Rhinolophus ferrumequinum: one gene and its partner. The protein of the gene in region 1 interacts with the protein of each later gene in a pairwise test. Links are inferred from orthologs where the notes say so. Each region holds a gene or a part of one and is shown on either strand. Other genes may lie near its edges. The genes, in order: PRKG1 and ZNF646.

What was found.
Region 2: the proteins of PRKG1 (region 1) and ZNF646 interact in binary tests that used the Homo sapiens proteins (3 or more experiments, as listed by UniProt). The two-hybrid records come from large-scale screens. The link is inferred for Rhinolophus ferrumequinum from reciprocal best matches to the Homo sapiens genes PRKG1 and ZNF646.

The regions. Positions count from the first base shown.
Region 1 is NC_046299.1:34,129,277-34,141,559, forward strand, and holds the start of PRKG1 (cGMP-dependent protein kinase 1), read left to right. Parts: upstream 1-5,960; 5' UTR 5,961-6,397; coding exon 6,398-6,708; intron 6,709-12,283. UniProt on the Homo sapiens protein: Serine/threonine protein kinase that acts as a key mediator of the nitric oxide (NO)/cGMP signaling pathway. GMP binding activates PRKG1, which phosphorylates serines and threonines on many cellular proteins.
Region 2 is NW_022680357.1:305,951-318,580, forward strand, and holds the start of ZNF646 (zinc finger protein 646), read right to left. Parts: upstream 5,262-12,630; 5' UTR 5,125-5,261; intron 4,933-5,124; exon of another isoform or gene 4,643-4,932; intron 3,512-4,642; 5' UTR 3,430-3,511; coding exon 1-3,429. Other genes in the region: ZNF668 (zinc finger protein 668), read left to right, coding at 9,378-9,400, 9,723-10,391, 10,911-12,123. UniProt on the Homo sapiens protein: May be involved in transcriptional regulation.

The DNA of each region.
Region 1 (12,283 bases):
TTGTTTATATGGGGCATTAAAACCATATGATATTTTATCTATGACTGCTTTGGGCAACTTATTTATTATATAGGTGTTTGTACATATAATTTTTAAGTTTAATTCTGAGCCACTAATACTTAAAATATTCTTATGTACCAGATAAATGCTTGTGCTTTGAAAAATGAATTTTTAAAAATCTAGTCTGGACCAGGAAAAAGTTAGTAAATTTTTTTCCAGAAGTGTACATTGGCAAGTGACTGATAATTTAGCCATTGGTTTTAAATGCATAGCAAATATTATATATGCATCTCATAGGTCCCAGCTAAGGCTCTATCATTGTTCCAAGGGTAATGCTTTCATAAACAGCAGGCCCCATATCTTGGCCCTAGAATGACATCCATTTCTTTTACCAGCCTACTGGTCATTTGCCTATAATTAGAGATGGATTTCTAGATTTTGATCTCCTGAGGATTGTATAAAAGTCACAATATCAATAGCTAACTTAATTTGAAGTTAGGTGATATTTGTCCATTAAGTTAGTAAGTGTGAAGATCTATGTGTATTTCCCTACCAAGTCTTTTTGCCTGCAACTTCTTCTCTCCTCCAAGTCTCTGAAATTCTTGCAGTATAAACAAATGTCTTACCATTTTCTCTTGCCCAATTCATTCATCTTGCTTACTGAAAAAAATCCAATTCACTCAAAATTTCATTTTATTGTCCTTCTTACATCCTCAGTACTTTCCCACCTTACTAATTTTAGTAAGGTCACGAGCAAAATGTACTTTCAATTTTGATTATGTAGGAGGAAGATGGCAAGTTATATCAACTATTAAAAGCTATCTAAAATGAAAGCAAAAACAAAGTATCATTGACTCCAAAACTATTCTCCTATTGCCTTCATATCAAATCTATTTTCAAAAGCAAAATTATATTTGCAAATGTTTTTTAATATTTTTGGGAAAATACTAATCCATTAACTTAGGAAATAATGTGCATTTAAATACCAGAAGAATACTGAGTTGGAACTGCGAAACTGTAATTTGTTTATCAGATATGAGGTATTATGATGTTACATACCCATGTATATATTCATTAGGTTTAAGACGCGGTAAGATACCAGAGGGTAAGGGGTGGGGAGTGGTAGAAGGTAAAGGGGGTCAAATATAAGGTTATGGAAGGAGAATTGACTTTGGGTAGTGAACACAATACAGTATAAAGATGATGTATTATAAAAATACACTTGAAACCTATGCAATTTTACTAACCAATGTCACCGCAATAAATTTAATTTAAAAAAGATCGTGAAATAAGGTGACATTAAAAGAATGCAGTAAGATGTTTTGTGAAAAAGCATTTTAAATTCCATTTTATGCATTTAAAATTTGTCCATTCATGAAAACAATACAGAATACCTAATATTTTTCTTCTTAAAAATCTTTTATTTCTTGTGGTCTTTGGAAATGGGCAGCTTACTAACAGTACAAAGAAATAGTCTTTTTGTTAGCTAGTGCACAGATTGTTTGAGCACTAAGTTAGGCTAAGGCCCAATAATGACTTAGCATCGTTTTAAGTTGTGGACTATAAGAATTCATTTCAACTAATATTAGGCATGACGGTAATTTGGTATTAAACTCTAAGCACATTAGCAATTATGGTACAATGCACTATTACTTTCCAAGTCTCTGCAGTAAGTTTTTCATCATTAATGGTTTATGGTTTTTTTTTTCTTTTCCGTACAGAATGTGTCATTCTCAATAGCAGAACTTCAAAACAACCCAACCATAGAATTTTTACTTATATGCATTTAAATATGCATTCCTGATGGCTGACTCTATCGGCCTACACAGGCGTAAGAATTATATAATTCTATAGGAGATAAGTGAATAGGTGCTTATAATGCTGTGCTTAATCCGTAGGAAACCAGTCTTTCTAAACTCCAGATTTCTATAATAACAATAAAAGAAAACAGAGGCTTAAATCCTTGTCTAATTCATCAAAGTGTAATTAAAATTCTATTGTCTGATTCATTCTCCTTTATAGTCCAAAGACAATTTCTGTGGTGTATTAGTAGACGTTGGAATAGGATGATTGCTTTCCTAAAACATATTTATACAATTACATACATGAATTAGTAATGTGCCTAAAATAATAGGTATTATTGCAATGGATCTTCCTTGGTTTTACTTTTCTATCAGTAACTTTGAAAGCAAGATTTGAAAATATGCATAAAATACAGAGGCTCAGCAATCCTGAATTCATTAGGGTGATCAGCCATCCTGGTTTGCCCAGGACCAAGGGATACTTAGCGCTTTAGTTTGAAAATCAGGACAGTCCCAAGCAATTTTAGTATTAAAACTAGGACAATCCCAGACAAATTGATAGAAGTTGGTCATCCTGAACCAGGATGAAATGGCACAGGAGTGAAGACAGTGTTGGGAAAAAGAACTTTTTGAAAATCTGTTTCCTGCTTTTGCAGGATTTTCTAAGTGACTCCTCTTTCCACCTCCCCAGCCCCACAGTCAGGCTAGTTAGTGCTAAGAACACTCATTTCTTTGGATTCAGAACCAAGACAGCAGCAACAGTTGGAAGTTCTGCAGAAGGAAATGAAAGGTGGGGGAAAGGTGGGGGTAAGGGACTGAGCTGTGTATTAAGTGATCTGGATTTGAGTCCAGGCTCTACCATTTATTAGATGGGTGATTTTGCGCCTCCATTTTCTCAAATATAAATGGAAATAATGATAATGTCTAACTTGTAGAGTTCCATGAACAATGTTAGCTATGCATTAAGAGTTCAAGAAAGTATTAAATAACTGCGTTATTTAATATTTTATTCAATAATTCTGAGGTTTATTAAGGAAGGCATAATACTAATCCACATTCATGAGGGTTGGATACAAAATTGAAGAGTAATAATATGCCACAGGTTGGTTTGGCTACTGGAGAAGCTTTGCTTCTATTAGAGCTATTACAAACAGATTGCTGAAAAGTCGATTGTGAGTGGACTATGGAATTCTAGAGTATAAATTGGGTTCCTTCAAATTTGCATTGTTCTCTGTTTTAGCATGTATCATCAAGATGTCATCCCAAATAGGCAGTGAGAGAACTCAGTATATGTCATTCCACTTTACTCCTTTCCAGATTTATGGTAGCTACTTCTTAATGAGTAGAAAATAGACTTGTGCCTGATCTTTGATCTTAAAAATTTAGCCAACTACATTAACTATAAGACATACAGTAAAATTTGTCTGCAGGACCTTGATTTTTCACATAAAATTTATTCTGAGCATTTACCAAGTACAATGCAAAAAATGTTTAAGAAAATATTGGAATCACTCAAAAGGTGAGATGGAAAAATCAAGATCTAATCAGCCAGTTAAGAACATCATTGAAAAACGTACATAAAATATTTATTTCGACTTTAAGAACGTAAGAGGAAAGCCTAGAATTTTGATTTTGCATATATAACTATAAAGTATTTAAAGTATTATAAAGATACAATTAAATTATTCTTAAATTATATAGGCTAATATAACCAAATATATTTTTATACCTTGAACACCTTTCAAAGTGTAAGTCAGTTGTAATAGTTGTATCTTCTTGGTCATTTACTTTGTTTGCACTTATTAAAACAGATTCTTGACTTTTAATATGGGATTCATCGTGGAATATTTTGTATCACAAGACTTCCATTTAAAATGAAAATGTAACATGTACGAGTATATATCCTATAATTGTATCTAGATGTGATAGCTTAAATAGTGAAAAATATTTATATAATTCAGTGTAAAAAAACATCGCTTTTGTTAAAAAATACCCGAATATTTTTTGGTTGAAGTGCAATTTTTTTATGTGGGGGAGGGGGAAATGCTTTAGTTTCTATTTTCCTTTGTACATGTATACAGTCTTTCTACAAATGAGAAAGAATATCCTCTACTTTGTGCTGCTTGAAGACATTAAGTAACCCCATTTAGTCCTCAAATGAAACTTCAAATATAACCCTGCTTAGCAGTTATCTAATGATATTCCTTATACATTGCTTTTGATGTATTTTTAGACATAAACTCTTGGCCTCCTGGAACCCTATAATAGATCAATAGAAAAAAAATCATTTAGTTTTAAACATTTTCCCATGGAATTAAAGAATTCCCATAGGTTAAAAAGATAAGAATTTGGCCTTTTGCCTGGGAAAGGGAAAATATCACAGGAGCTCTTTTAGAATAGTGTCACTTATACAAAGCCACAGAACTTCTGCTTGGTTTAGTTTTAATTAAGACAACAATAATTCAGAGCTATCATTTCCTGCTATCAGTATTTATAAGTTATTCATGTTTTGTTCATCACAAATGAAAATGTTTTGAGAATTATCCACTTTGTATATTACATGTCCATGTTGGAAAGCAGAAAAATTAAGTGTCTTAAGTCATCTGTGTTGAGAAAATTAGATCATAATCTGCATGGAAGAATGTTTAAGATTATATATCCTTTGTCATTTACACCTCTAATTCCAAACAAATACACTTTAAATAAAAAAGCTTGCTACCTTGCCTGTGGCTAGCTGGTCTTCCCTTCCCTTCCCTTCCCTTCCCTTCCCTTCCTTTCCCTTCCCTTCCCTTCCCTTCCCCTTCCTTCCTTCTTCATTCCTTTTTCTTCCTTCCTTCCTTCTGTTCTTCCTTCCTTCTTTCCTTCTTTCCTTTGTTTTTTTCTTTTTCAGCTTAGATAGGAAAGTTTTGTATTCAAAAGTAAAAGTGAGCAAGTTTGTTTTGAGACTAATATACGTCCTTGGCTAAGTTTAGATTCCAGTGAATAGTTCTGGATTCCAATTCAGTTTTAAACTATTGTCTATCTACTTTGTTTAGTTTCAGGGAATTGCCAAATTCAGCATTGAGGTTTATAATACTGAGTGTCCATGAATAGTAATTAGAGGGCTGCTAATAAACATACTATAAAATGGGATGAGTTGGTAAAGATTTAGATAAATATTAGGAATTTAGTTAAGTATAAAGTAAATATTTGGAGATTCTAAACATGTCTTCCAATGATGGCAGAATTACCCTTGGAAAAAAAGGATGCTACCTCATAGTCATCGTTGTTGGAAATTTTGAGTGGGCAGGCATGGAGTGGGGTGCTATAGTGTACGATTTATTGCAGCCCAACTTGGGTCCCCCTTCTCTTTATGATCTTCCCTCTTTTTCAAAGTTTGAGTCTTGCCATTCAAGTGGAAGGGTACAGTCCTAACACTTTGGTTGTCAGGGCAGTAATATTTTTAAAGGTATAGTTCAATTTTAGGATGAACTTTTTGAAGCTCAGTAATGATTCCCCCCCAACCCCCCCACCCCAAATTAAGCAAAGGGAAGTAGCAATGCCCATCTATGAACAATTCTGCAGACACTAGCTCAGGATAGTGGAGAAGCTGAGTAGTCTTTAGGGTCCAAACCCATTTTGGCCTGTACCCTAAAAAGAGTTCATTAACATAAGTTTTGAGGGGTGAGAGGTGAAAGGGGAGTCATGAGCGGGCAGAGAGTGGCAATGCTGAGGGAGAAAAGGTCAAACGTCCCACCCTCCAACCTCCCTTCCCCAAAGGCACCTGGGTGTTAGGGGGAATCCCTCCCAGGCATGGATTGGCTCTTATCTCCTGAGAGGCAAGTTTCTTTGCAGCGTTAGCCACCTGTGTGCTGCACTGCCGGTGGGAAAGGTGGCTTGGGTGAAGGGAGAGCTCAGCCACATCGCTCGGGAGCCTTTCTTGCTGAGGCTGGCGGTCCAAATACCTCCAGAACCCAGAGCGTTTAGGATGCAGAGTGCGTTCTGCCCGCTTAAATCGCCAGGATTGTAGCCCGTTGTCCTCCAGACCGGTCAGCTCTGGAGCCGGCTGACACCTCCCCAGTTTGCACAGGGTCCTGGCTGTCCTTTCTCTCACCTCCCCACCCCCAAAGTGGTGCTCCTGCCTCGCTCCGCCTGCTCGTCCCCTGGCGCGCCCCACAGGGTTATCAGGCTCCCCACACGCACCGCTGGCTTCCTCTGGCGCCCGGCACGAGCGACCCGAGCAGACCAACCACCGCCTGGGAGCCTCATTCACGTCCCCTTCTCCCGCTTCCCTGCCAGCGCGCTGCCTGCTGCTCTCCCCCGCGCTGCGGCGCCCACCGTGTGTCAGGTTTAATCCCGGGTTGGACCTGCTGCTTTGCTCATCCCCACACTCAGCCTCTCCGTCAGCCCCAAGAAGTGGAATCTGCACTGAAACTCTCCGTGGCTGGAGCCGGCGGACTGGGCATGCTCAGAAGCCAGGGCTGGCTTTGGTCTCAAGTAGGAAGCTTTTGCACTCGGGAGGCAGCGGCGACTTTGGGGAAAGTTGATCGGAGAGGGGAGGAAGCCCCAAGACGCGCAGCAGCGGCAGGAAGGAGCCCCCGGCAGCCCGGAGGAGCATGGGCACCCTGCGGGATTTGCAGTACGCGCTCCAGGAGAAGATCGAGGAGCTGAGGCAGCGCGATGCCCTCATCGACGAGCTGGAGCTGGAGTTGGATCAGAAGGACGAACTGATCCAGAAGCTGCAGAACGAGCTGGACAAGTACCGCTCGGTAATCCGGCCCGCCACCCAGCAGGCGCAGAAGCAGAGCGCCAGCACCTTGCAGGGAGAGCCGCGCACCAAGCGGCAGGCGATCTCCGCGGAGCCCACCGCGTTCGACATCCAGGATCTCAGCCATGTGACCCTGCCCTTCTACCCCAAGAGCCCGCAGTAAGCCGGGGTTGCGTGCCGGGGCCATGTGGCACCCTGTTGGTGGGGAGCGGCGGGTGTCTGTGTTGTCTGTCGGCCCCCGCCCCTCCCGCTTGCCTTCTCTGTCCTCATCCTCAGAAATGTTTCATTTCTGGCACCACTTGCGGGGCCGTGCACGTTTCTAGAGCCAGACTCCCTGCACCTACGTTGCCTTCATGTCTTTGTCAGATATCAAGCTATTTTTTAAAAAAAATCTGTACATGTACATTCATATATGCCAACTACTGATTATAGAGTTTGAATGTGCCCCAGGTGTGTGTCCGGCTGTGTGTGTATGAGTGAGTGTGAGAAGCTGAATAAAAAGCCCCATCTCCCAAATGCCTTGGCATAGCTGCCCAGCCGGAAAACCCTCAATGCCGGCTCATCAGACTTGAAATGAAATGCGTCTGATATCATCCTTACTTTCTATGTTTTGGTGGCTCTTCCGGATTTCTCTACATGCTGGCAGTTTACGCTGGTACCCTTCAAACCTGATCTTCTGTCATCATCAAAGTGTCAAAAATAAGCAAATGTGTATATAAGAGGGCAGCTTTTTTGATTTCCTGAATTGGATGGCATTTGCAATCCACAAATGGAAGCTTAGTCTGTTGATTTAAAAAAAAAATTTTTTTTCTTTTTCCATAACATCTGAGGGAGAATATTGCTTATTTTCCTTAAGGAATTTGCATTAGGTTACTCATGGGGCACCTCCTTCTCCAAAGGGGGTTCATGTTTTCAGGTTCAAATATAGAGAAGTACACTTACTTACCTTTATTGACAACGTAGACACACTATTTGCCTTACTCCTTGCTTCTGATGCAACCACCCTAGTATTGTTCTAGCATTTTAGAGAACTACGTAGTTCTGATGTCAGTGGGCTTCACAACTTGGGTGGGGAAAATTGAATGAAACTTGTTATACACCACTCAAGTCAGAGTTCTTATATAAAGTGGTAGGAACGTGAGATTAACATAGAATGAGCACCCACATGGATGGTGTTTTAAATTAACAGATAGTGGCACAATTGGCAAAATGAAGGATTTTGATGCTCTATTCCAAACTACATCACATTGGCTAGATAGCATGTTACATAATCATACAAGGTCCCTTGGAACCCTTCACTTCATAAAAACAAAGAACTAATATAAGGAGAGAGAGAGAGTAAATACTTGATTATATCATTTTGTACTTATTGGATTTGAGAGAGCTTGAGAGTATATACTAATTCCACTTTTGAAAACTTAAAGTTGTACCTATACTTGTTGGTTCCTGAAGAGCATTTGTTGTTCGTCATGCAGGTTTAGCTTAATGAGGGGTTCGTATTTTGTGAGAGAGTGGGGAAAAGACAAGAAGGATAAACATTTCTGAGATTCTGACCTCATCAAGTTGTCTAATAGTTCAGTAGACTTAGATCTGCCTTGGAAACCTGAATGGTTTCTATATTCACTCCAACTTTCTCTGCTAAATTAATTTGCAGTCCTGACATGCTTGCCTGTTTTAGCTAACGAGGTACATGGCCATCTCTCCTGGGCCAAGTTTTGCATAATGAAAAAAATAACTCAAAGACAGCTCTCTGGATCTTTAAGCATTCCACAGGATCTCACTTTAGTAACTGCAGGACTTTGGAGTAACACAGAGCAAACTCTGCTTTTATAAAAAGACCATTTTAATAGGTTTTATAATAAAGTATGATCAAGCCAGCTGATAATTCCAGTTAAATGTTGTATCAGACAAGATCTAAAGGAATCTAGAAAGTAGGGAAGGACCTGAAGTTTTAGAAATCTCTTAGTGCTTGACATGAAGAACAACTAGATTTTTTAAAAAGTCCACAGTGGAAAATGAAATTAGTGTGGCATATAATTCTGTTACAATTAACATTTTATCTGTCGAGCAATTCTCTGCATTCTGATATTTATTTAATAGCTTGTGCTTTAAAGAAGTCAGCTATTAAGGTATCACCATGATGGTTTCGGTAATTCTGAAAGATTATATTGAAGAAAATGATAGAATGTCTTCCAAGCTTAAATAATTTTGGAAAAACATCTGTTCTTTTTTTCACACTTACATAAAGGAAACTAGAATAAAATTGGCTTAAGTGGTAGAGTGTACCGCTCTTAAGAGAAAGAGAAGTGCAAAATTATTATTCTCATGTCACTTGAAGGATTGTGCAAGATAGCGCCACAAAAAATTAGGAAAATTTGCCAGAGAAGCCTCGTTTGCATTTCAATTTATTTTACTATAAAAAATTGATTATATTGGATTGGTGCAAAAGTAATTGTGGTTTTTGCAATTATTTTTAAACTTTTAAACTGCAGTTACTTTTGCACCAACCTCATACAGACACTGTCAACAAGTGTTTGTCATTATATTTCATCTTAGTGCAACTTAAATTTAGTCGTGTTTCTTAAACTTACACTCAGATTATTGGGAGTTCAAGTTAAAATCAAACCATCTAAATAGCATACAATTGATTTCAAATTCATATTAGTTTTCTGTTCTCTTTCCATTAGACGTTTTCTGTTCTCTTTCCAGTTAACATTCTGCTCAATTATCTGATATGTGCAAATATATTTGTTTACTTTTTGCTTGCTGAGGCCTTTTGAGGATGATTATTTTTGAAACTTTTGTTTTTCAGTGATTTTTGGTCATTTGGAAAATAGTGTAAAATGAAAATTAACTTATTAACTTAAATCATCTTAACATTTTTGGTTTGGAATTTTCTCTTTAAGCTGGGAATTAGAGGGAAGTCTCAGTCAGATTACAGGAGATGGCTAGGGACCTTCTGTTGCACCTGTGGGGTGTGAGAATGCTTTCGTCGCTTTTACACCTGTATACAAATAGCACCTAAGCCCTTTTTCGTTGTGAATGTGAGGCAAAGAACTCATGTAGCAAATTGAAATCTGTATTCCACTGATACAAAATAACTCCGTGAGGTGTAAACTATTAGGCTATATGTTTTGAAGTAGATTGAGCAAATAAACCCTTAAAATGTGAAAAAAAATCAATTTTATGAGATCAGATAGCCTTTCAGAGATCATATATATATATACATTTCTTATGAGCTTTTAAAGTAATTTTATTTCATGACATTTCATTCCTGAAAATTGATTTTATTTTTCTTTTAAGAGTGGAACTCTGATATTTTGATCTAAACCCTCTACCTATTGTAAATATTCCTACATCCTTTCCGTTTTGCTGTCACAGGGGCCCATGTCATTTCAGTTTGGCTATACAGATTTGAGTTCCTTATAAAAAGTTGTTTGTGTCTCTGTATTCTTGTTAATCTATTGCTTTTCACCCCAGAGGTAGCTGAATTTCAGGGAATTTTGACATATTTTGTTATGTTTCACTTTTTAATTGTGAAGTACTTTGGAAGAGCTGAGGATGAAGAAATACAGTTTCTTATTTTTAAGGAGGCATTCAGTTTAACAAGATCTTATATGAAGTTTTAAACCTTAACACTAGTACGTCTCAAGAGAAGTGGAATCTTTGTATAGGCTGTATTTAAATTCTGTGGGAAGTTGAGAGAATTCCAGGATTTTAGTGTAAGCATAGATGGCATAATATTAAAACATAGATATCTTCAAAAGCAACAGTTCAGTTTAAAATGCACCCTACAGCTCAGTTCTTTTATGAGATGTCTGCCTTGTGCAGGCTATTGTGAGGCATTAGAGGTGAGAGATATATAGGTGCTACCATCAAGGAGTTAACAAGTGGTTAACAGTACTGCACAAGTAAATATTCTAGAAAGTAGAGTAAGGCAAGTCACAGAGGCGATATCTAAGACGGTTGGCAAAATAGGATTGAGCCCACTTAATTTTGCGGTATCAGAAACTCTTATGGAATTGGAGTTGCTTAAAGTATATACATAATTGAAGGATGGCCATAATTTAATAGTGATGGGATGAGCGGGGTGGGGTAGGGATGGGGAAAGCCATCAGCAAAGGGACAGACAGCAAAAGAAAGCAGAGGGTACATCTGAGGAATGCCAGCAACTAGTGGCTGTCCCAGAACACCACACCATCGTGGGAATTGAGGAAAAGCAAGTTTAGGCCTGAGAGAATGACAATCTTAGTTTCTATTTTATAAAGTAGGTGAGAGGGCATTTCTGCTTGTTTTTGGAATAATCAAGAGTCGTGTGTGTGTGTTTTACTCGGAGAACTAGTTTTTACCCATAAGTAAAGCTCTGAATTTCAGAATATCAGTCCAATCCTCCACCCCTCACCAGCGCAGTACTGATTCATAACCACAGCTATTCCAACTAGGTAAGGGTATTTGATGTAACTAAGCAGCAGGTGATTAAAATTCTTAAAGAAACCCAGTTTCACTCTTTAAAAAAAGCACGTTCCGTTTTCCACTCACTTTAAAAATGTTCCCATTGAAAATAATCTAATTTTATACTACAGGCATCGTTGCAGGTTCCTCACATTCCTAGGCAAATGGGACATGAGAAATGAACCTGAAGCTAGTTTGTGAAATTCGTCTTTCTTGTTTTTGTGGAGGAATTTTAACGTTATTGTAATATGCTTTCCTATTTCAGTTTGCTCGTTAATTGGACATTGCAGTCTATGCAGTAAATTTGAATTTGTGGAAGACTTTATAAAAAATGTATGAGAACAGACTGCTGAAACCCTACTAGGGTGTTTTGAAGCACAGTTAAGTTGTGTGCCCCTAAAAGGGGGCTTATAATAAAAATACTGACAAGCCCTTAAATAGAGTAGCTTTAGAAACTGCCTGAGACTGTCAATGACCGGCTAGTTTCTTTGCTCTACTGGGCCACATTTCCAAACTCCCGCTACTTGTTACTTCACTAAAGAGTTGGATTTGTATTCCTAATGGGAAAGGGTAAAAGAAGGCAGATGATGTTTTTATTGTTGCCGTTTGCAGGTTATAAGGCATATGGAAACATTTTTTTTCTGTCTGCCTAGCAATGGAGGGTCTCCATGGTATCCTAGCAACCAGTTTCAACACTGGGGCTGCTGCTCTTTCTGCCATCTCTGCTATAGGTGCTGCTGCCCATCTCAGGGAACCAGGCCTGCTGCTAGCACTCAGGCCCTCCAACTTGAACCTTCCATGCTCGGAGAACACAAGACGATGATAAATAAGCACATGCTGCAAGCAGCGTTTACCAGCATGCTCAACAGCTTATTATGCAATCACATCTGTGGCATTTTGAATCCTAATCTGAATTGTTGAGCTAGTGCTCTTGGCCACCTCTTCCCTGACAGCCCGTCGCTACTTCCTCACACCCAGCCTCCTGACACTCGTTCTACTTTCCTTTCACCATCTCCTGTAATGACTGCGTTCATCAGCATCTCCTGAAGATTTGTTTTCTGAGAAGTTAAATATGTGCAGCCGGTGTGAACCCTCTAAGTATAATTTTGTTTGTAAGAGCACAGGAATGTTCTTCCTCCAAAACTGTCATGTGCATATAAACAATGGCACAAAAACCGTAGCTACACAAAACAGATGTTTAACAAAAGGTGGGACTAATAGTATGCTCCCCAAAGTGTCGTGTTTCGGAATGGATTTTATAATCATAGGCATTTTTTTATGG
Region 2 (12,630 bases), on another chromosome or scaffold:
GAGTGCCTCCCGGGGCTTCCCCACTTCTGCCGGCGCCGCCTCCTCGGAGGAGTCCTGGGGCTCCCTGCCGCCTCCCGCCTCGGGGAAGGGGACAGGGACGGGGCCGGGCCCCACCCGGGGCTCGGAGCCTTTGCACAGCGGGTGGTTGCGCAGGTGGTTGCGGTAGGCGGCCAGGTTGGGGTAGCGGCGGGCGCACACCGCGCAGCCGTAGTCGCCGGTCTGGTGGGTCTTGCGATGGTTCACCAGGCTCCCTCCGTGGCGGTAGGTCTTGCCGCACTGGTTGCAGCGGAAGGGGCGGGGCTGCGCCTCCAGGGCACCTTCCCCACCGTGGGCGCAGAGGCGGCTTGCAGACGGGGCACCGACACCCTCGGCAGACGTTGTGTCCCCACCCTCTGCGGAGACGGACGTCCCGGTGCCCTCAGAGAAGCCATCCGTGACCATCTGCCTGGCATCACTGGTCTCTCCCACGGGGCTGGCAGCTCTGTCCGTGGTGTTCCCGGAACTCTGACTGCGGTGGTGACGCTCCAGGCTCCCCAGGTCATCGTAAGTCTGACCGCAGCAGCCACAGATGTGCCCGTACCCGGCTCCGTCCAGCGCCTCCACCTCCCGCTGCAGCTGGTTCAACAGCTCTGCTTCTGAGAGCTGCAGCGGGGCGCTGGGCGTGGAGGGGGCGGCGGCCGCCCCTTCCTCGTCGCCCTCCTCCTCCTCCCCCTCAGTCATGCCGGAGGAGCCATGAGCCTGGCGCCTGTGGAGCCTGTAGCCTGCCCGCCCGGGGAAGATCATGCCGCAGAGGCAGCAGAGGAAAGGCTGTGCTGGGGCCACCTCCCCGGGCCCGTGGTTCTGGAAGTGGCTGCGCAGGGCGGGCAGGGAGTCAAACTCCTTGGGACAGAGGGAGCACTGGTAGATGCCGGGCGGGTGGCAGGGCCTGTGGCTCAGCAGGCCGGTGGCGTGGGGGAAAGAGTGCCCACAGTCAGAACACGTGTGGGCCACCTCAGCCTGACAGCCAGTGACAGCTCTGGCAGAGTGGGCAGAGCAGCTGGGCTGGCCAGGGGCCAGCTTCTGGTCTTCACCCGCCCCCGGGAGGCCATCACAGAAGCGAGGCCCACCGCTTTCCTCGTCACCTGGGATGTCCAAGCTGTCAAGGAAACAGGCCTCCTTCCTCTCCAGCCCTTCCTTAGGGCCTCTGCTCTCCTTATCACCCTGGAAACAGGCCTCGTCCCTCTCCAGCCCACACCTGTCCCTTGCAGCTTGAGCCTGCAAAGAGTCCCCCTCGCTTTCCAAGCTGCCCTCAGCTCCATGAGGACTTTTCCCTGGCAGGTCCTGGGGACAGTCCAGGCCCTCACTGTCTCCCGCCAGCTCCCAGTTCCCAGGGAGCGTGGCGCCTCCGTCACTGCCGGCACTGTCGGCCTGGCCCCGCAGCTGCCTGCCCCGCCGCCGACTGTGGCGACGCAAATGGTTCTTCATGGCAGCCATGGTGTGGAAGTGCTTGGCGCAGGCAGCACAGCTGAAGTCCCCCGTCTGGTGGGTCTGCCTGTGGTTGATGAGGCTGCCTGAGTGGCGATAGCTCTTTCCACAGTCTCGGCAGGCAAATGCCCGGGGAGGTGACAGCCTGGTCTCTGTCCTGCTGCTTTTCCCTTCTCCGAGGGTTTGGCCATGCCGTTCAAGGTTCTCAAGGTCTTCAAAGAGCACCCTGCCCATGCTACATATCTGTGGTGCTGTCCTATTTGCTGCTGGGGGGCCCTCCGTGGACTCCTCTTCGTGTTTGCACCCATCGCCCTGATCTGTACATGGGGCTGCCTTTGCTCCCCCCTGGTCAGCGGGAACCTCCCCCTTGAGGTGGCTGGGGGGACCTTCGGCCCCTGAGCCAGTGCTGAGGCGTGCAGACTTGCAATGGACTCGCACGTGGTTGCGCAGGGCCATCAGGTTGGGATACTTGCGGGGACAGAGCGAGCACTGGTACTCTCCTGTCTGATGGCTGTGGCGGTGGTTCACGAGGCTCCCGCGGTGGCGATAAGCCCGACCACATTCATTACACTTGTAGGGGCGATGGTCCAGGGTGGGGCTGGGGACCTCTGTCTCTTTATGGGTGGTCTCGGCCGGGGGCAGGGAAGCTGGTAGCACTGATGGCCCATCCTCGCCAGCTCCTTGCCGGGGTCTGTGATGAGCCCGCACATGGTTTTTGAGAGCGGCTGCGTTGAACAGCTGCTTGGAACAGATGGAGCAGGGGTAGACACCTGTCTGGTGGCTCTTGCGATGGTTGATGAGGCTCCCGGCATGGCGGTAAGTACGGCCACAGTCCCCGCAGCGGAAAGGTCGATACTCCTCCAGGCCACTGTCCTCCAGGTCCCCAGAAACGCTGAGCTCCTCAGCGCCATTCAACATCGGGGCACTAGGGAGCTGGTCCTGGCTGCTCTCATCTGTGTGCCCGTTGGTGGTGGGTACCCCTTTCTCTTCCCACAGCCGCTCCTGCCTCTCACCCTCATGGGACTGCTGGTGTTCCAGCAGCTCTCGGGGGAGCCGGAAGGCACGGGGGCAGTGAGGACACTGGTAAGGCCGGTACTGGGCATGGAGTCGCGAGTGGTTCTTCAGAGCCATGAGGTTAGAGAACTCCTTGAAGCAGATGGCACAAGGGTAGATGCCGACAGTGTGGCTCTGGCGGTGGTTGGTGAGGCTCCCGGCATGCTTGTACGTCTTGCCGCATTGACTGCACTTGTACCGCCGTTCCTCCTCAGCAGGAAGGGACTGGGGTGGCTCCTGACCCCCCGTGAAATTCACCATTGACTCAGCTAAATACTGTTCCAAATTGCTAAGGAGGCTGCTGGCCGGAGTAGGGAGCGGTGGGGCTCTGGCAGAGTTGGTGGTGGGCCCCCAGCCCTCTGCACCCTCCTCAGAATGTGGCTGGCTTTCCCAGCCTTCCCTTTGTCTGGTGTGTGGATCTTCCCAAGTGCCCAGAGCTGCCTTAGGGTCAGGCTCAGATGCACAGATAGATGTCTCTTCGGTGTGTTTTTTCTGGTTTCCCCAGCTTTCCCCATGGCCAAGCCTCTGGCCCCAGGAGTCAGTGGATACTGTCTCCCCCTGAAGGTGTTGAGTGGCTTCCTTGGGGCGGGGGGGTCTGCGCCTGCGGCGGCCCTCAGGAGCATGAGTCCTCATGTGGCTCTTGAGGGCCATGGGATTGGTGAAGTCCTTGCCACAGGTGGTACAGGGGAAAAGGCCAGTCTCGTGGGTCCGGCGGTGGTTGACCAGGCTCCCTGGGTGGCGGTAGCCCCGCCCACACTGCTGACAGCGGTAGGGCCGAGGGATGCTGTCAGCCTCCTCACTGTCCTGGTTGGAGGATGGATGGAGTAGTTCTCGGTGCCGTGACAGTTCCGGGAGGCTAGGGAAGTGGCGCTGACAGTCACAGCAGCTGAGTGAGGTGGGCGCGTCCTCCATGGGGCAGTGCGACAGAAACCTGGAGGTTTAGGAGGACCAGGCAGGTGGCAGCGGCATCTTCCTCCGGTGTTGGGGCCAAGGCCTAGGAAGATGGGGCAGTGGTCAGAAGAGAGGCCTGAATCAACTTTGCCCTTTGGCTCTGTAAGCAAGTTCACCAGCGGTCACAGAGAGGTTCCCCAAGCAGCGATGCCCAGGGACCGGCTTTCTATGGACTAATCTGGAAGCACCATCAGGTAAGACCTCCCTGCACACAAGCTCCCTAGGCCTACCTCATCCCCACAGGTATAGAAAAGGAAACTTAAGTCTAGAGAGATGTACCCTATCTCTGATCACAAACCTCTTAAGCTGTTCTTCAGACCAAATCCAGAAAGTCTTCCTGCCCCAACCCTCTCCTCTCTACAACCAACCAACCTATCTTCTGTGTCGTCTTAACAGGAAACCCGAACCTTTTCCAGGACTTTCAGTAAGAGATGTCCAATCCTCCCTTCTTCACCCCTCAGCTAAACAGAGTAGCCTCGAGGCGTTGACAAAGCAGCCTCTTTCTCCAGGTGACCTGAGAGGTGACGTCAGGGGCCCCCTTCAGAGAAGGGGCTGGCTTGTTCCCCCACATCCGCATGTGATTCTTTCAGGGTCACAAGGTCTCCTTTTCAAAAGACTCTCTTGGCCACTTCCTCCACCTACTTCCCCTGAACCCAAACTCTATTCCATCATGGAAAATTCAATCCCATTTCTGGTGTCCTTCACCCCTTTTTTCTTTCCCACACCTCCTCACGATACCGTCACCACCCCTTGTCATTTTTTTCTTCTAATACTGAGGATGACAGCAACGCATGTTAGCTGGGCACCACCGTGTGCCCGGCGCTGTGCGAATCGGAGACTATTCATTGTCACTTAATCCTCAAAACACACCGCAAAGCGGGAGGTCCCCGTTTACACAGGAGCAAACCCACTGATTCAGGCAATCGTCTCTCCCAAGCCCTTGCCCTCCCCACAGCACGCCCCGCGCTATCTCTGCCTCTGCTTCTTCACTCCCCTTGGACCCAAACACAACTCCTCCCTCCGACGAAGCCCCTCGCTAAGCCCCTCACGGAACCTGCTCCCCCAGTTCTCACCACACAAAGCCCCTTCGCTCAAGAGTCCTGTCTCCTGATCGACCACCGAGGTCCTCTCGCCTCATTCATCTCCCGGGCCAACTTCCTCTTGGGACCCCTACCTGGCACGAGTGGCCCCTCCTCGTTCCCGCCGCGGGTGCGTCCGTTGGGGACCGCGAACGGGAGCGCGCCTGCGCACTGGGACCCTCACTCTAACTGCAGCCGCGCGCCCCACGGGGTGGCCGTGGGGAGTTCTCGCGCTCCCACACACGCACCCTCCGCCAGAGCTCCCAGGAGGTGGGAGGGGAGGGAAAGAGGGAAAGGAGAAGGGGAATAAGGAAGGAGGCAGAGCAGAGAGGGCGCAGCTGATCCGAGCCAGGGGTCTAACCCCAGCTCCGCGGATACTTCCTATTGTTACTAGGAAACAGGAAGTGTCCTAGCCGCAAAAGCTTCCCCGCGAAACCTCGGTCTGGAGAACACTTCCGGACCCGCCTCCAAGCAGCCCTGCTACACAGACACACTTCCGGCGCTAAGCAAGTAGTAGCTACAATGCGACTCTGGCCCCGCCCACGTAGGTCACAGCGCGGCGTCGTTTCGCACTAACCTCAGCCACATTTCCGGCCAGAGGGGCTCAAGCCGTTCCGGTGCAAAGTGACCGAGTTCGGAAGAGGACAACAAAAACAGGGTTCTGCAGCCGCAGCCTTAGGACTTTGGCGACACTTTTCGTGGGGCTCCCTGAAAATCTTCTCAAGACAGATGGAGGGAGCTTCACGCACGCACTCCTTGCTGTGAAGGGAAATGTGAAATATAAGAGGATTTAGGAACTGCAGTGCTTGAGCATGGCCTTTCTGTATTCCCACCTTCTAGTTCTTGGTGATCTGGCCCCAAGCTAGCAGTAGCCCTGTGTCACTAGGAAGCCTTTTCGGCGTCCCCTGGCCTGAGTCCCCACAGCGACCCCTTGCAAGGTGTTTCTCCGCCACCTTCGGCCGGGGATGCGCTGGTAAACTTTGCCTTCCTCCCCAGCGGGGGGAGCTCCCTTCCACTTCCGTCCCCCGGCCCCGCCTCCCCCACCCGCTGGGTCCTAGCGCCTGCCCCTCCCTGCTAGTGTCCCGGGCTCCGTCGCTGAGCGGAGCTGCCACTGACGCCAAGGAGCCAGCCCAAGTCGGTTCAGGTAGGAAACGCTGCGGGAAGCCGCGGGGACCCCAGCACGCAATCCGATCGGACCTCAGTTTCCCTGTGGGCGCCGAGGGCGAATGGTGTTGGCCTGGCGCGAGCAGCGCGGGCGGGGCGGGAGTGGTGCGGCCCAGGGAGGGAGCGGGCGGGCTCCGGGCCCAGCGGGTCCTAGAACCCGCCGGCTGTCCCCACCGGAGGGCTGCTGCGGATGCCTGGGCTCGGCCCGCGCGGCTGCCCGCCTTGAGCTGTGCGGGCTCGGGGGTCCTAGAGCCCACCATGTTGCAGGCTTTTGTCTTAGGCGCGGGGCCCGCTTAGGTAGGGCCCCGGCGCCTGCGACCCCCCTCCCCGGTCGAGGTCCTCGTCGCCCCTCCCGCGGTCCTAGAGAACGCCATTTGCAGGCCTTTGTCCAGCGCCGGGCCTCGGTCCATTCATTTGTTCATTCTCTCATTCTTCGTTTCCTCCTTGCCACGTTCTCCGAGGCCACTTTTTCCCAGGGCTTATTACGAGATGAGTCAGCCCAGGGCCCTGCCCTGCTAGGCTGTCTGGCGGGAGCGCCGACAGAGAGAAGGTTGCAGGGAGCGAGAAGCGCAGGTTTTCTGCAGCTCTCAGCCTTTCCTCGGCGCTTCTCGGATGCCATAACGCTCTTCAAACTCCCACGTACCCCAGAGGCCCCAATTTATTGATGGGAAAACCGAGGCTCAGAGCGCCGTGGCGCCCTTACTTCTGCTGCCTGTTAAGTATTCCTGAGGGCACTGGGGAAACAGGCATTTGAAGGATGCAAAAGAGTTTTCCCTTGGGGGAGAAGGCAAACAATGGCTTCCGAGGAAGAGGGCACTCACTGCCTGTGGAGATGCATTTAGGTGGGGAAGTTTGAGAATTGTGGCGGGAGGCTTGGGAGGGGGACATTGCTGCTGGAGCCTAGGCTGGAAAAGTAGGTTGTTTACTGACCAGGGTGGAGGCTTAGGAGATGATTGGCTCTAACCTTTGCGCGGTTCACAGTTCCCCATCCACCCTTCCAAATCTGTCAAGGGCTGTGAAGCCTGTGGGTGACTGCTTGTTTAGATGTAGGGAGACTAAGGTGCAGAGAGGATAAAAAGTGGCTCCCTTTTCACCTCACCCCTGTTCGCAGGGCCCGAGCCTAAACTCTCCGGGAATTAAATCTCTGCATCCCTAGATTTAGAGCCTGTTTGGGTACCAGGACTTCATCCCAGTCCTGAGCCAGTAGTGAAGCGCACACCTCCCTCACTAGAGTGACGAACCCAGTGTGGAAAATGGGGTGCTATTTGGACTTGGGAACTTGGACAGGCAGAGAAATTCAGTTAATAGTTGTTGATGGACGTTCTCACAAATGCCTACTGTAGCTCCAGGCCTGGGTTTGTTTTGGGGGCGCCAGTAACAGTTCTAGGGGTAGGGGATCCAGAATAATAAAGGTTACGGACTCCTCACCAGCCTAGACTGTTGTGCTGGAAACAGAGAATTAACAACCAAGCTGTAAAATGGGTAAGTGCTACCGAAGCAATAATCAGGGGGCAGAGAGTGGGAGTCTGGGGGGCAGACCGCCTGACTCTGACTCTCCTGCCTGTGACTGTGACTAGATATTTCGTTTGTGTGGGCCTCAGTACCCTTGTCGGTAACATGGGGGAAATGATGCCGTTTAATTGAGTCTGTTCAGGCTATCAAAACAAAAACCACAGACTGGGGGGCTTAAACACCAGAAATGTATTTCTCACAGTCCTGGAGGTTGGGAAGTCCAAGATCAAGATGCTGGCCAATTCAGTTCCTGGTGAGAGCTCTCTTCCTGGCTTACACAAGGCCACCTTCTCGCTATGTCCTCACGTGTCCTTTCCTTCTTGCACACACACATTCAGCCCATAACACATTTCTAGGCAGTTATGAGGCTTAGCTTAAGCGGTACACGTAAAATTCTTAGGATGATACCGGCCCGTGGTAAACTTGCAAGGAATGTTGTCCAAATGAGCACCGTAAAGGAAATTCAAGGGGTGGGGGGTATAGAGAGTGATCAGCAGGGGTGCAGATGGCATTAAGAAAGGTGTTCAGGAACGCCCTCTGAGGTGACAGGGAGCTGAGAGTGAAATCAAGGAGACAGCTGCACAGATATCCTTGGGGATAGTGGTTCCGGTGGAGGTAAGTGCTAGTGCAAAGACCTTGAAGTGGGAAGGAATTTAGCTCTCAGAGGAAAAGAAAGGGAGCCTAGGAGCCAGGGAAGAGGGGTGGGAAGTGAAATGGGCAGGAGTTAGGTGGTTCAGGGCCTTGTTGACCATGAAAAAGATATTGGTCTTTGTCGTAGGAGCAGTGGAAAGTGTCATGATTTGGCTGGTAAGCCTTAAGTAAATGAAGACTCGTAGACAAAGAGCCCAGCCAGAGATCTGAAGATGTGGGTTTAAGTCTGGGCTCCTTGACCAGCTGTGTGCCCTTGTGCATGTTGTCCCCCTTATGGGGGCTTAATCTCCACACCTGAAAACAAGGTATAGTAAGAACGCTTCTCGCCTAGAAGCTGTGACGATGTATGGGCGTGTCTTTCGTTCTTAAATGCTGAGTGTTGGTTGGAGTGACACAGAGCATGTCCACGGTACAGATTTTGAGTTGTGCCCCTCACTCCCCAGATTGTTATTTTCATATAGGGGGTGCCCAGACCTGATGTGGAGAATTGGGTGGACACGTCCTCAGTCAGGTGTGAAGCGAGGAGCTAATGGTGGGATTTGAGGCAGGGGCCTAGCCTGCCTGGCCCTCTGTTCTGTGGATTGTGTGTGTCGGGGTGGGGGACTGAGGCAGGCTCCAGGCCGAGGGTGCTGACTCTAAAGATGCAGCCCCTGCCACTCACCCCAGGGGCTTCCCTGTCCTCCCGGGGTCATAACTTAGAAGCCACCCATCCCTGGGGCGTACAGATAAGGAAACAGTCTTAGAATAGAGGAGGGATCTCAGGCTTCCTACCTCCCAGCCTCGGCTCTGGGCACACCAGGCTCCCCACTCCCCTTCTCTGTGGCAAAGCCTCAACCCCCCCCCCCAGGCCACCCCCAGCAGCAAAGCTGCCCAGCTCCTTAAGTGGATCTGCCGTAATCCTCTTCCCTTCATCCTCCAGGGAGGATGAGCCGGTGTTAGGACTAATGCAGCTGTTAATCCTATTTCCTTCCAGCCATGATCCCCAGGAACAGCTGTGTGGAGGGTGTCTGGGCTCTGAACCGGGAAAGAAGGGGCCTCCGCTAAAATGGGTGTCCCGGGAGCCAGGCTAGATCAGACACATTGATTATGACTCAGAGGCTTCTAACTGCTAGCAAGCTGCCTTGAGAGTAACTGAACTTTCCATGGTCAGAACTAGAACTATGGGAACAGGAGCCCAACAGCGATTCCAGAGCAGAAGGCAGACCGGGATTCCTGTCTGGGGTGGAGTCCCTCACTTGTGCAGGGCCAGAATTCTGCATGGACAGTTGCTGTGTCTGAAAGCTAACCAACCAGAGGGGAAAATAAAACACATGTGCTGGGGAACTATCACTTCCAGACAGGCGGTGCCAATCACCACCTTAGCCCACTGGTTCTGCTATCTTCCGGACCCACCTCTGTCTTCACTGGGCACTTGGAGACCTTCAGACCAGACCCACAGCTGGGTAGCCTATGTCTGCAGCCCTGCATTCTGGCACAGGCTGACTTGAAGAAAGAAGATATGAGATGGATAGAACCAGTGCCACCAGGTGTGGAAAAGCTCAGAGGCTGGGGAAGGAAGTGAGGTGGCGTTTTGATGACCCCAGACTCCTCCCTTAGCCCCTCTGAAGTCACTGGCTCCGACTCCCTTCATCAGTGAACAGATTAGAGAGGAAAGTTGAGCAGAACATCAGAGCCAGGAAGTGTTAAGGAGAAAGGATGTGGCGGTCCCAAGTGGGACACGCAAATGAAACAGGGTTCCTTGGCAGGCCTCAAGAGGGCATTGGGGAGGGGAGAGGCCTTGGAGAATAGCAGGGGGTGTGGTTTGGAGAATAGCAGAGGGATGTGCTTCTAACTCTGCTTCTCTCGCAGAGAAGCTTTGCCCATCAAGGCCATGGAGGTGGACGCTGTGGAGGCCCGGTCCCAAGGCCCCGGCTATAAGCGCTCCGGCCGGCGTTACAAGTGCCTGTCCTGTACCAAGACGTTTCCAAATGCGCCCAGGGCAGCGCGCCACGCTGCCACTCACGGGCCTGTAGACTGCACAGAGGAGGCGGCAGAGGTGAAGCTGAAGCCAGAGGCAGAACCCAATGCAGAAGATGCCGGCGGGGACAAGGTGTCAGGTGCAGCAGCTAAGCCTCGGCCCTATGCGTGCCCGCTGTGCCCCAAAGCCTACAAAACGGCCCCCGAGCTGCGTAGTCACGGTCGCAGCCACACGGGTGAGAAGCCCTTCCCTTGCCCCGAGTGCGGCCGCCGCTTCATGCAGCCGGTGTGCCTGCGTGTGCACCTGGCCTCGCACGCTGGCGAGCTGCCGTTCCGCTGCACGCACTGCCCCAAGGCCTATGGCGCGCTCTCCAAGCTAAAGATCCACCAACGCGGCCACACCGGCGAGCGGCCCTACGCCTGCGCCGACTGCGGCAAGAGCTTTGCCGACCCGTCAGTGTTCCGCAAGCACCGGCGCACACACGCCGGCCTGCGTCCGTATGGCTGCGAGCGCTGTGGCAAGGCCTATGCAGAGCTCAAGGACCTGCGCAACCACGAGCGGTGAGGGCTCCGTAAGGGGCTGGGAAGAGCAGGCCAGCGGGGTAGAGGCGGGACGGCAGCAGCTCCCCTGTGGGGACCAGTGGGGCCCCTGGTTGGGTCTTAAGGAACGGGATGAGCCAATGGGAAGATGCGTGGGGTGGAACCAGGATTGGTGAGCACGTGGGAGAAGCTGGTGGCCCTGATTGGTTGGTGCGTGGGGCCGCCTGCTGTGGGATGGGGCCTTGGAGGATGGGAGTGCAGTCTGATTGGCCTGAGTTCCTAGGCAGCATGAAAAGGGGCGGGGCTTCAAGTTGGGCTACCTAGAGGGTCTCTGGGGGAGACCAGAAGGCCTGAGTGGGGCCTGCTCTGTCTAGGTCTTTGGGGTGCTGAGAAGGGTCTCTGAGGTGCAGCCCTGTGGCTCTTAGAGGATTGGGCCAATGCTCCCAGGATGTTAGGGGGCCCGAACTGAGCGTACAGAGGGCAGCAGGGGTTGGGTGATGGGCCTGCCACCCTCATGCCGGGTTCCCCACACTCCCGCAGGTCCCACACCGGTGAGCGGCCCTTTCTCTGCTCAGAGTGCGGGAAGAGCTTCTCCCGCTCATCCTCGCTCACCTGCCACCAGCGCATCCATGCAGCGCAGAAGCCCTATCGCTGCCCGGCCTGTGGCAAGGGCTTCACGCAGCTCAGCTCCTACCAGAGCCACGAGCGCACTCACTCCGGCGAGAAGCCCTTCCTGTGCCCGCGCTGCGGCCGCATGTTCTCGGACCCCTCAAGTTTCCGGCGCCACCAGCGAGCGCACGAGGGCGTAAAGCCTTACCGTTGCGAGAAGTGTGGCAAGGACTTCCGGCAGCCTGCGGACTTGGCGATGCATCGGCGGGTGCACACCGGCGACCGGCCGTTTAAATGCCTGCAGTGTGACAAGACGTTCGTGGCCTCCTGGGACCTCAAGCGGCACGCGTTGGTGCACTCAGGCCAGCGGCCCTTCCGCTGTGAGGAGTGCGGGCGAGCGTTTGCCGAGAGGGCCAGTCTCACGAAGCACAGCCGGGTGCACTCCGGGGAGCGCCCCTTCCATTGCAACGCCTGTGGCAAGTCCTTTGTGGTGTCGTCCAGCCTGAGGAAGCACGAGCGGACCCATCGAAGTAGCGAGGCCGCAGGGGCCCCCCCACAACAGGAGCTGGTCGTGGGGCTGGCACTGCCCGTCAGTGTGGCTGGCGAGGGCTCGGAGGCCCCAGCAGCAGGGGCGGGGTTAGGGGACCCTCCACCAGGGCTGCTGGGGCTGCCCCCAGAATCAGGCGGGGTGATGGCCACCCAGTGGCAAGTGGTGGGCATGACGGTGGAGCATGTAGAGTGCCAAGATGCTGGCGTTGGGGAGGCTCCTGGTCCCTTGGGGGGCGCAGGCGAGGTGGGGGCTGAGGAGGTAGACGAGAAGCCCCCGCAGTTCGTGTGCCGGGAGTGCAAGGAGCTGTTCTGCACGCCGACGTTGCTGCGACGGCACGAGCGCTCACACCCAGAGCTGCGGCCCTTTCCCTGCACCCAGTGCGGCAAGAGTTTCTCAGACCGGGCTGGGCTGCGCAAGCACAGCCGCACACACAGCGCTGAGCGCCCCTACACCTGCCCCCACTGCCCCAAGGCCTTTCTGAGTGCCAGCGACCTGCGCAAGCACGAACGCACCCACCCTGTGCCCATTGGGACCCCCACGCCCCTCGAGCCCCTCGTGGCTTTGCTAGGAATGCCTGAAGAGGGGCCAGCCTGAGGCCCATGCCACTTCCTGGGCACTCCTGGGAGCCCAGCCCCCACAGGGTGCCTCCCGAATCTCCCTTTGCCCAGCTTACTCTTTAGACCAGATCCCTGCTCTCCCGGCAGCCAGCTCACCTTCCCAACAAAGATCTGGGGACAGTGGAGGCTGGCCCCCTGCTGGTGAGAGTCATGGCTCTCTCTGAGTGACACTATTAAAACATTCACTTTGACACTGGGTTGTCTTCTGTGTTCCAGTTGGGAGTAAGGGAGGTTGGACATCAGATGAGGTTCAGTGGAGAACCTGGATTGATAGATTAGAGACTAGAATGTCTTGGAGTGCTTTGTTTCTCAAAGTATGTTTCAGAATGTCTTGTGACAAAGGGTTCCATGGTCAAGTAAATACAGGAAATTCCCTGTGCCTTAGGGATTCTTGGTGATTAAAAGTGCAGTAAAGTCAGTGATAAGTCCTGCAACGAACAAATCTATTTAGCTCTGTTTATCCTGTGTATATATATATATATAT